3 linked regions of the Danio rerio genome follow. Each later gene encodes a partner of the first gene's protein in a complex. Links are inferred from orthologs where the notes say so. Each region holds a gene or a part of one and is shown on either strand. Other genes may lie near its edges.

Region 1 (4,213 bases):
AAGTACATTAACATACTCTTCTTAGGCCATGACTCAACAATAGTAAATAGATTGTATTGTAATAGTGTATTGTGTTCATATGCCCCATTAATGTATCCATTTCAAAAACTTAGCACAGTAATTGCAGTAATTGGGAGAGTACTGTATATAAATATGATGCAAAAATATATAAAACTTAAATAAATACATATAAATACTCATACAATTTTTAAAAAATCTAAATAGTAAAAAACTTTCAAGGATTTAAGATGCTGATGACCAATAACAATCCTGTGAAAAGGATCACAGCTCCGCATACTCACTAGATCAGGGGTACTGTTCCTGGAGATCTACCTTCCTGCAGAGTTTAGCTCCTACCCTGATCAAACACACCTGAACCAATTAATTACGACCTGAACAACACTTGATAATTACAGGCAGGTGTGTTTAATCAGGGTTGCAACTGACATCTGCAGGAAGGTAGATATCCAGGAAAAGGGTTGGCCACCTCTGCACTAGATGATGCTGCAACCTCATCCAGTGTTGCCGTTATTAATCCTCATTCAAGAACAAAAATCAAGATATCAGAATATATGAAAATCTGAATCAGATATTTTCCATTTATCTTTATTGTTTATATCTACTTGGTAGATGTCAGATGAAGTTTTTTTTGTTTGTTTTCATATAACATTTCAAACAAGTCATCGAGAGGACACAAAAGGAAATTAACTTCCTTGTTCCTTGTAACAAAACATTTTAAAACAGGCTTTCATCATTCATACATGACCATCTCATGATTTTGTTTTCTTTACTTTAAAAATCAGAGATAAATAAAATATTGTTTCTAGACAACAAAAAAAAAGACACAGAAAAAGGTTACACATATAACAAAAAAGTGGAACTAAAATGTGGCATTATTTTAGACACAACAAATGAGTGACATCCTAAGTTTTAAGACAATTATATCAGATGATAATGCAGTTTGTCTGTATAACTCATCATAAACATTCCATATTACTGTTACTTGTTGCCATCACCTCTTGAACTATTTACACTTTTAGGAAATCTTTATTCGTTGATGGTGACAGACATAGGATTGTCATATGCTGCAGCATCCAGGTTATCTGCTTTTTTACGTCGCAGTTCAGGGGGAGGTCTGGGAGGTGGGTTTTGAGGAGGTTCTTTGATGCTCTCCCCAAGACGTTTTTTTGTCTCTATGTGGAGTATAGGCTCCCAGTGCTCTCCATGAATAGCTGCCTATAATGCAAAAGTTCACAATCAAAAGCTAACCCTAATGTTAATACTCATAAACACCTATTTAGAAAAACATGGGAACATTTGTTGAAACAGCATTAAAATATCTGCTCTGTTTAATGCAAATGGAGAATGTAAATTAATTTTCAAAGAATGAGCATATGACAAATTGTGACATCAAGATTTTTTATGCTCTCTACACTTTTATTTGTTTCACAGAAGAAATGTGAGTTTCCAACAATCAGTGGTGAAATAATAAAAATTTCTTTAGGGTGAACTGCAACAGTTTAAAAGTGAAAAGGGGTTTTTGAAGAGGAAGTAAGTGTGCAGGAAGCAAACTAAGGTTTTAGTTCCCCAATCTTCATTTTGTTACAGTTACATTAATTGAGTCATGTTGTTTGCCTTATCTTCAGATAAATAAGCATTTATTTATTTTGCATTTATTTGGATGAACTTACAGAGAGGTAGATCAAACTTGCCATTCCTAGACACACACATCCCAAAACTGTGGCTAACATGAACCCTCCAGGGACACAGAGCCTGCAATGTAAATCACACACAAAGATAAGACACCAGCTTATACAGCAAAAAAAAAAAAAAAAATGTTTTCGAAATCATCTTAAACAAAAAAAGGGACATGCTTGACAAGGCGTGACTGACGACTTACGCAGCATGTAAGAAAGCTCTGACGTAATAGTTTCTGGTCAGGGGTCCAAAAGATTTTACACACACTGTAAAGCAGTACTGACCGCTGTAATTAAACATAAAAACTTTCTTTTAAGTAATGCATGGTTCACATAAGGAAGTTGTCACTATACAAATGACTCAGTGTTTTTTTTGGTTATGAATTGTTGGTGGTGTGTTGAAATCACCAGCCTGTACTTCCTGTAACTTGGCTTTCATCAACACTTACCTTCTCTCAATACTGGTGCCTTTGCCCCGTTTGCTGCGTGGATATTCAAGCAAACACACAAACACACCAGCAGCACTTTCACAGTTAAGGTCTCAATAAATAGACTGTGGTACTTTATTTTTTTAATAAGGCACTTTACTCACTGAAAGACCGAAAGAGCATAAACATTCAATCATAGCATGTAAGGATACATCCCAAAAGCTGCAAACTGCCAGCCTCTGAACTGACCAGCCACCCCAACGATTCCACCAGTCAGATAAACTTTAGGAAAAAAGATTTACACATTTCATTTACAAAGGCCTGTATTTGACCTAAAACTATATATATATATATATGTGTGTGTGTATATGTATATGTATATATATATATATATATATATATATATATATATATATATATATATATATATATATATATATATATATATATATAAAACATAATATTTTACAACTCAAAAATAATCAATTAAATATGATATTTTTGGTTTTAATAACATAATAATAAAGCTCAAGCAGCCTACCAAACCCCATATAACACTTTAAAAAATGTAACTGGTAGCCTACATAACAAGAACTTATGTTTAAACAACATTATATCCCCTATCTTCTTTTTAAAGCTCTATATTGTTTTAATTTAACTGTATTCACATATCACAATGTAACACAATTACTCGCTTAAATGTTCTTTAGAACCTAAATATGAAAAGTGTATTTGTGGACTTACTGAGTCCAGCAGCCAAAGCTTGCTCGTTGGCCCACATCGCCCACTCAATCTTCGCCATGATCACTTGAGTGCGTGCTGTCACTGGCAAATAAACTTTTTTTCCCAATTCATTTTTATAAAAGAAAAGTGGGTTGTGACCAGCGTAACAAACCCAACCCACTGTCACTTCCGCATTTGCTGTATTTTATGAAGAGAAATGAAAGTCCTAGAGCGGACGTATCGTGTGCTGTAAAAACCACAGGAGGCGGGACGATGGTAAAAAAAATAACATTCTCCCAATAAAAAAGAACATATGTGTTTGCATGTCGCGAGTTTATATCTATGTGTGTGTGTGTGTGTGTGTGTGTTAATGTGGGTGTTTATCCAGGGATCGAGTTAATACGTACGTATGTGCGTCGTGTGTATGAAAGTGTTTGCATCTATCATGTTTATGTACGCTCATATGCACATTCCACCGAATGGGTATCGTGTATTCAAATTTAACAAACAAACTGCATTTACAGGCAAATGTTTATCCAATCAATGATTTTATATATATATATATATATATATATATATATATATATATATATATATATATATAAAACACATTTACCCCTCTGATTAACTTGGAACATCCTTTTTTATTATTATGCAAGAAAGAACATTACAAAGATACATTATGAACAAAGAGATAAAAAGGGTTACATAAATAAAATTCCAGCAAATTATGGGCCTACAAGTTTCAATTATTTACACCAAAAAAAAAAGTTTTACATGCAATATAATAGTTTGAGTGTTTTAACGAGTTCACAGATAAATCAAAGTCCTTTCTGAATTAAAAAAAAGTTTTAACATTCATGAATGTAAAATTTATGAATGATTTTGACTGAGACTTCAACAGCTTTATTAGATAAAAATTTTTTTTTTTTTCTACAGAAGCCAAAACTGATCCCAATTTATGTCACCAAATATATTTTTCTAAAAACCTATGCAAGCAGGTAAAGAGATCCGAGATATATTAATAACCAAGCGAATAACTTTGTTTGACATATAACTGAGAAGAGTTTGGTCATCAAAAAGGTTTGTGTTGTCAAAAATAAAAGAATCTGAGGAACCATTGGCGCTAGATTTGACTAAAGGTATAACACAATCAGGGATTGCACCAAAATCTATGGCATTTGGGAGAACAGGAAAAGAAAATTAATCATATTTTTCATATGGAAAAGGGACACCACAGTCATCTAAGAGCTGACTAACTAAAAGTATATTTTTATTTAACCAGTTATTTAAAAAAAAAGAGATTTATTTTTATAATCCCAAATAAAATAGACACAAGGAGAAAAATTATAATTATATGTAAGG
Region 2 (4,403 bases), on another chromosome or scaffold:
AACAGTGCGCTTACAAAAATACATTGATACAGCAATCCTATACTTAAACTTAAAACATCCTATTTTATATAGGCTACTCTAGGAAATGTACATAAAATTACACGTACACAATATTAGACTTTAGAGAGACGTTGGTAATCAAGCATCAAGAGAGATGGGATTGCTTAAAATTATCATTTAGTTTGGGGCTAAGTTACAAATCGCATGTAAATTAATGTCTAATTAGGAACACAGAAAAGTTAGAGCAAAAACAATAGCCAAAATTTAATCTAGAAGTTTGGTGTTACGGTCACGTCATGTGCAATTATACTTGCAAAATAAATAAAATTATGTTTTACTGTGCTTCAAAGTGAAGTTGGAGTAATAAAGGAGTCTATTTAACAATTTGAACGACGTAACATTTTTAATTTAATAAGTTAAAATAATAGTGTTAGGTTATTTAAAAAAGGGTCAATTCAGTTTCAAATAGTATTGTTTGTTAGTAATGTACATTATTATACAAGTTCACTTAGCATACATAAAGTACACTTAAAATACTTGATCTTTAAGTACAATTTATTTGCACCTTATTGGCACACTTTTGAATTCATTCATTCATTTTCTTTTCAGCATAGTCCCTTTATTCATCAGGGGTTGCCACAGCAAAATGAACCGCCAACTTATCCAGCATATATTTTATGCATTGGATGCCCTTCCAGCCACAACCCAACACTAGGAAACGCCCATATAGGACAGCCAATTTATTCATTCATTCATTCCTCTACCTTTCGGCTTAATCTGAGGTCGCCACAGCAGAATGAACGGCCAACTTATCCAGCATATGTTTTACACAGTTTGTTCCTTTCTCTCTGCAACCCAGTACTGGCAATCATCTATACACACTCATTCACACACATACACCATACCCAATTCACCTGTACAACATGTCTTTGGACTGTGGGGGAAACCGGACCACCCGGAGGAAACCCACCTGAACATGGGGAGAACATGCAAACTCCACACAGAAATGCCTACTGACCCAGCCAAGGCTTAAACCCTCAACTTTCTTTCTGTGAGGCGATCGTGCTACCCACTGCGCCACTGTGATGCCACCTTTGAATTCATACAAGCAAAATCATTCTGAAGTCTATTCTTATTGTTTTTTTAAAACAGAAATTGTTCAACCTTGACCTCCTGTTTCTCAGTGCTATAAATATGAGAAAAGGCCATGCTCTATTATGTGAAATTAAGGTGTCAAGAGGTCAAGCTGCATGATCTGTTACAAACATCTGATTTCCCACAAAGGGTTTAAATTTAGGCAGAAGTCTAAAATCAGTTAATCATGGCTTTAAAATCGAAGATATAACAGGGACAATAACTCCACAAATGTGGACTTACTCAACTGGCAAATGCAAATCCAGAAGCAAGTGAAGCTGATCACTTCCTCTCTCAGAGCAGAGGCTGGGGGTTGTTCTCTTTCAGACTGCCTCTGCTCAGTTCACAACAGAGACGAGCAGCATTCATGTGTTCACTGCTCACCGTGTTTTGAGGGAGCATGTCCTTCGTAAGCACCCTTCGCCAGTGGGATGAGGCCGTGGCTTGTGTGGAGCAAAGAGACCCAGACGCTGCTCTCAGGATATTCCTCAGTATCGAGGAGAAAAACTCCAAGATCGCTTTCAACATCGGCTGTCTTTGTCTGAACAACAGTGACTTAGATGAAGCTGAAAAGGTACTCTTGTATGGCTGAATCAATGTTTTATACTACTTGATGTTTGAATTGTATTTTGAAAGTCTAAAATATTTGTGGCTGTAAAAAGGAAGTAAAAGTAGTTTTATTCTTTATGGGAAATGTATTTCTGTTTCACACCTGCAGGCTTTTGATGGAAGCATTGGCAAAGATGAACACCTGGCCGTGGCCTTTTTTCAGAGAGGAGTTACATTTTATAAAAAGGAAAAGTAAGATCATTACCTCTTGTCATGACACTTTAAAGGACAGTTCACCCAAATGTTTCTATTAAACACAAAGGAAGATAAACTGAAGACAGTTGAAAAAAAATCAGCCATTGACTTCCATACTATTTTACTATGGATATGCCTATCGGTTTCTTCAGAACATCTTTTTTTGTGTACAACAGAAGTTTGGAATCACTTGAGCGTGAGTAAATGACGAGAATTTAAATTTAAATTTGGTGAACCATCCTATTAAGTAAACGTTTTATGCTGTTCTGATGGCTCAAGGTACTTAAAAGAGTGGTCTAGAGTGTATTTTTAAGGCTTGGATGTGTTTATAAGAAGCAAAGCAATGTGTGATCATGCTTGATTTGTAGAAAATCACATTATTTTTCATATATCTTAATTATACGCTAATACTCAGCTAACATGAAAATGCCCGCCCTCAAGAGGCTCTGATTGGTCAGCTAACATAATGTGCATAATTTGCAAACCAGGAAAAGCATCACGCCTTTAATACTGCACGCTGTGTCTCTGCTTTGTAAATACTGTCGGTCAGAGCCAAATCAGTTTGAGCCTGAATCAAACAGAAAATGAAGAGGACACAGCAGAACCTTACGCCTGCTCTCTAAAATAAAATCTAACAAGTGTCTTTCACATATATTCAGAATAAGCATGTGTGTAATTAATATGAAACATTTGCATATTTTTTGCAAGTTTGTTATTTCAGATGTAGAACACAGGGAAAGCGTCCACATGGAGTTACACTGTAGCGCTGCAAAAGATTGTGACTGTTTACAGAGATTTGATGGAGAAATATGAATTTGTAGCTAAATTGTTAGCGGTTTACATCCTCACTACAACATAATGTTAACGCTTAAAACTGTGCATGTAATAGATCAGTTTTCTCAAATAAAAACACTTACAGGTTGTGGCTCTCAAACCACAGCTTCTTTGATTATGGTTGGAGCTGCTGGTTGGTTTTTAGCCGAACCAGCACTGAACTGGGAGAGATTCAGGAAGTTCTCCTTTGTCAAATGCTAGAGCTATATATTTTCATAATTTTCTGGAATTCCTTGTGCCGTGTCCTTTGGAAGCTTAAATACAGTAACAGAAGATGCTCTGTGAAAATTGCAGTTATTGGATGGCATTTTATCTCTTTTTGCTGTAACATACAGCGCCTCTGGCCACGCCCATTCGCTCTGCAGGGTAAATGCATGTAACCTGAAGCATTTGTGATCTCACTAACCTGGATTTTATTTTTATTTTTTGTAGTCCTCAAATTTTGTTCAATGTCGGCTTTGCTAAGCTAACTCTGTAAAAGCCAATGTCTCTCTTTGCATTGAGCGTATTACAGTCAGAGATGTTGTTTATGTTCACACAGCTACATTACACATCAATTAAAGTTTAAAATGTGATATAGTAGTGGACCGCCGCTTTAAGAGCCGATCACAAAATATCTCATTCCACTTTTAATAAACTGATGATCCTAACCTTCTCTCCAGGTTTGAAGAGTCTCTTCTGGATTTCCAACAAGCATTTAAGCAGTTACGAGGGAATCAACTAATTGATTACACACCTCTGGGGCTGAGATATAAACTTTATGCTTGTGAGGCAAGTCCAGATATTTTTTCAACTTTACTGACTTATTAATAGTTGTGATGTGAGTGACATTTTACACGTCTCCATTTCTGACTTGATGGTTTTTCACAAGAGTTTTCTCCTATATTGCAACATCTGACATTAACAGTCACCTCAGTTCATTCTCTAAAGCAGTCTTTTTGTCTTGTGTAATATTAAGGTGCTGCACAACATTGGACTGGCACAGGCGCAGTTGGGAAAATGGGAAAAAGCTCAAGAGAACCTTCTCACTGCTCTGAGCTTGAGAGCAGATGCCAAGTTCAGCCATATTGATCATGCGCTGGATGCCATTCTGGTCTGTATCTGCTTAACTTTCATTATCATAAACATGATTATCAGTTGCTAGGACTCATAAATTAAATTCCTGTTTTAATTTACAAGTTGGCCCTGAAAGTCATTGAATTATATGTTGACCTAATACTCTGTGGTTCATCTCAAACGTTTTGGTTGTTATATGAGGCAACGAAAGCTTGTTCTTTCGTAACTTGTCTAAAAAGTGGTTATGTTTGGTTTGTTTCACAATCAGAGGTTCTGGTTAGATTTTGAGGGAAGTTGTGTAAGTTTCAGAAAGGTCAAAATTCACGAGACAGATGATTTATACTCCGATATCCTTACATAAGTCATCCTTCTAGTAAAATGAACATCATTCTTTGTACGCATTTTACAGACAAAGTAAATTGTGAAAGTATGAGTCAAGGAAACACCAGAAAACACAGTAAAAGCAATTAAACAGTGAGGTTATATAGCAACAAAAAATTACTAACATGCAGTGCATTGGGACTTCGTTAATGTTTACAATCCAAGTCAAAAATATAGGCCTACATTTTTAACCT
Region 3 (3,654 bases), on another chromosome or scaffold:
CAGAGTGCAAACACAGATACAGGGACACTGGAGCGTTTTAAAGCCATGAAGATCAGTTGATTCATCAGCAGATCACTCGTCTGTGTTTGCATTTGGTAAACATCTGTTAAGTCCAGTGAACTGATGACCTTCACGGCCAATCACAGTCATTTCTGTTGAGCACTGGTGAATACTATCTACGGCAAATCATCTGCGTTTAAGACGCGCACAACAGTGCTTAAATGTTAGCGGGAAATTTACGTTTTTATTTAAATTTTAGTACCCAAATTCAGTATCGTGAAAAGTCTAATATAGTGAAAGAATTAATTATTTCATTAACTTGAACTTGATAAATGTCATCTAAAACATGTGTTTGGAAAAAAAAAACTTTAGCTAACTAGTGCCATTTCTCTTAACTTAGCTGAAAATTAGGTCCGATATCCCTTTTTATTTTCACCATCCATTCAGAACGAACCTTCGGTTCACTTGGAAATTGGTAAAATGATAAATTTGTGTCTTTTTTTTGCTAATAAGATATACAGCGAGGTACTCAACAATATGCCATCGAAGGCACCATTCCTGTCTGACTCCAGGTGATACTTCCGGGTTTCTTTCCCCTGCAGCATCGCTGTTGCTTTTAAAATGGAGGCCGCATGTCTATAGCTGGCAGTTCACTCCTCTACTATGGCAACCTCTAAAATAGAGACTAAGTCGAAGGAAAATAAATGAATTTCTTTGGAAGCCATTTTTCCACAAAGGGAAATTAAGTCAGAACTGTAAAAGAGCTGATAAATTTGCATCTCAGAATTCAGGTTTATTTATTTATCTTGAAATAATGACTTTTCACACAATTTAGAAAAGAATATTAATAACCTCAGAAATCGATCATTTAAAAAAAGTCATTGCACTTCTGATTTTTTATTTAAATGCATGTTTATTTTATCAAAATTGTCAGCTTAAATCTCCCAATTCTGATTTTCTTCTTGAAAAATATTTTAATTCACAATGCTGAGATAAAAAGCCATAACTTATTACATATGGTAAAAAATAGGACTCCATATATTTCTTAATATTGTTAATATAGTTAAAACTGTTAATATTGTTAATTTTTCTTAATTTTTTTTGATAGAAACCATGAAACAGATATATTTTTCAGGATTCTTTGTTAAATAAAAAAGTTTTAGAGAACATTATCTAGCTAAATAAGTTATTTGTAATAGTGTAATATCCTGTAATGTTTTGATTAGTTTAATGCATCATTGTTGCATGACAACATTTAAACACACACAATAAGATTTGAAAAAAAGAAAGAAAAAAAAAGAAAAGTGGTATGAGTAATTTTATCCAGGGTTACAAAAAGGACAAATCCAGCTCTGCCACCTCACCTATTTCTTTGGCCAATGCGAGACCCTGTGGGTAAGTGATCGGTGCCAGTTTCTTCTCCTTCAGCTTCTCGATGGTCTCCTTCTCATCTCTCAAGTCAAGCTTGGTGCCAACCAGGATAATTGGAGTGGAAGGGCAGTGATGCCTCACCTCTGGGTACCACTGGAGGGAGCAGAGGAGCAGATCAAAACACTTCATTCTCGGCTGTTTATCAATCTATCTCTTGACTAGATACAGCCTTTCTTTTTGTCTTCTATAAAATAGACGAACATTAAAGCTATTCAGAGCTTCTTTTTCTTTTTAATGACCAATCCCACAATCTCTTTGTAAGTTTGTTATATAATAAAGAATGTCCTGGGAAATCATGCTGCCTTGTTTCACTTCGTTTTAGGATATGTCAAAGTCTTTTTGTTGAAAAGATCTTCTCAGAAAGCACTAGCTGAATCACTGGTTAAAGCCGATGCGCATAAACAATGTCAGTGCTCTCTCAGAAAGTGTGAAAAATGCAGAGCAGAGCAGATGGAGAAAAAGCTTTGAAAAGGTGTGCAAAGACTGCTGTACTTTTCAAGGTCCGACCTCTGAATGTTGGCTTTTAATCTGACAATCACAAATACCATTGTTTCCATACACAAAGCAGCCCATGCAGTCACACCGAGCAGACCTTGAGTGGTCAATGGATGTTTCCATAGCAAGTCCACAGTGTTCTTGCCATCGAAACAGGCTAGCAATCATCCAGCAACATACTGTTATGTTGTGAACGTTGAAGTTAAATAAATAAGAACCAATGATATAATAGCTGACAAATAAAACAGACAATGTATTGTGAGCTATAAAGTGTACATAAAGTATTACTTTAAAAAGATATTGAGCATCATGTCAACACCACAGCCTACCTGAGGATTGTTGCTGACCACTGTACACAAATGGCCTCCACAGTCACCGGATTTAAATGCAATAGAGCACCTTTGGGATGTGGTGGAATGAGAGATTCACATTATGGATGTGCAGGCAACAAATCTGCAGCTATGCGTGATGCTTTCAAGTCAATATGGACCAAAATCTCGGAGGAATATTTCCAGTACCTTGTTAAATGTATGCCACGAAGGATTAAGGCAATTCTGAAGGCAAAAGGGGGTCCAACCTGGTACTAGTAAGGTGTACCTAATAAAGTGACCGGTGAGTGTGCATAACATTTCAATTAAAACAAAATATTGAGAGGAAAAAAAATACAGCCTACAATATTTCAACTACATTTGATATATTTTTTAGTTTCTCATGATTTTCCTCTTTCTTAAAGTGTTATTTAAAATATTTCCTTAACAATAATTTGGCTGTAAAAATGTTTGGAATGTTATCTTGGAATGTTATTTTGTTATGACTCCTCCAGTTTGTCTTTGGTACTGACTAATCTAATGTAAATTAGATATTAGAAATTAGGTATTGCTACCATATATTATAGGTAAATGAATGGCTAGCAGGTTACATGATACATGACAACACAGTGAGTCCAGATTGCATGAACACTACACAAAATCATTCTAAGAGTTTATTTATATAGGTGATCGCAAATAAAATGACTAATTAAAAACAGTAAATACTTATTATGGAGCGACACGGTGGCCTCACAGCAAAAAGGTCACTGGTTTGAGTTTCTCCCACAGTCCAAAGACATGCAGTACAGGTGAATTGAATACACTAAATTGGCTGTAGTGTATTTGTGTGAATGAGTGTGTATGGAGGTTTCCCAGTACTGGGTTGCAGCTGGAATGGCATCTGCTGTGTAAAACATATACTGGATAAGTTGGCTGTTTATTCCACTGTGGCGACCCCAGATTAATAAAGGGACTAAGCCGAAGGAAAATGAATGAATAAATGAACACTCATTATTTAATCTGTTCAACCTTTTTAAAATCTTGAAATGAAAGTCCATTAATCTTTTCTTTCCTGCTTTGATGCACAATCAAAAGATACAGAAATGGCTTTTTAAATAGGAGAGGGGCGGTGCCTGATTTTGTCAGTTGTTGTAGTTATATAATAATGCTGTGGTGTCACATGACAATGTGCTCATCCCATGTAGTAATTACTGCAATTTCTATAAGACAACACATCTTCTTACTGGTTCTTTTCTCTCCCTCAGACGTGGAATGTTGAATTTATATGGCAATACTATCAATGCCTAAATACATTGGAAGCAATAAGGTGAAATTTGTAAACATGGTACAGCTCTCAGAAAATCACCAGTTAACAGGTTAACAGTTAAGTTGTAATTATGAGTTCTACAAGGACATTTTT

Evidence for each region.
Region 2: cyba (region 1) and ncf2 share a complex: the UniProt entries of both Homo sapiens proteins name them as parts of the phagocyte NADPH oxidase complex. The link is inferred for Danio rerio from reciprocal best matches to the Homo sapiens genes CYBA and NCF2.
Region 3: cyba (region 1) and rac2 share a complex: the UniProt entries of both Homo sapiens proteins name them as parts of the phagocyte NADPH oxidase complex. The link is inferred for Danio rerio from reciprocal best matches to the Homo sapiens genes CYBA and RAC2.

What each region holds. Positions count from the first base shown.
Region 1 is NC_133193.1:32,665,674-32,669,886, reverse strand, and holds cyba (cytochrome b-245 light chain), read right to left. Parts: upstream 2,942-4,213; 5' UTR 2,928-2,941; coding exon 2,870-2,927; intron 2,408-2,869; coding exon 2,338-2,407; intron 2,222-2,337; coding exon 2,147-2,221; intron 1,985-2,146; coding exon 1,901-1,984; intron 1,774-1,900; coding exon 1,692-1,773; intron 1,237-1,691; coding exon 1,048-1,236; 3' UTR 586-1,047; downstream 1-585. UniProt on the Homo sapiens protein: Subunit of NADPH oxidase complexes that is required for the NADPH oxidase activity that generates, in various cell types, superoxide from molecular oxygen utilizing NADPH as an electron donor.
Region 2 is NC_133182.1:41,684,579-41,688,981, reverse strand, and holds the start of ncf2 (neutrophil cytosol factor 2), read left to right. Parts: upstream 1-1,492; 5' UTR 1,493-1,534; coding exon 1,535-1,708; intron 1,709-1,852; coding exon 1,853-1,935; intron 1,936-3,434; coding exon 3,435-3,543; intron 3,544-3,730; coding exon 3,731-3,865; intron 3,866-4,403. UniProt on the Homo sapiens protein: Subunit of the phagocyte NADPH oxidase complex that mediates the transfer of electrons from cytosolic NADPH to O2 to produce the superoxide anion (O2(-)).
Region 3 is NC_133178.1:28,282,591-28,286,244, reverse strand, and holds part of rac2 (ras-related C3 botulinum toxin substrate 2), read right to left. Parts: intron 1,525-3,654; coding exon 1,365-1,524; intron 1-1,364. UniProt on the Homo sapiens protein: Plasma membrane-associated small GTPase which cycles between an active GTP-bound and inactive GDP-bound state.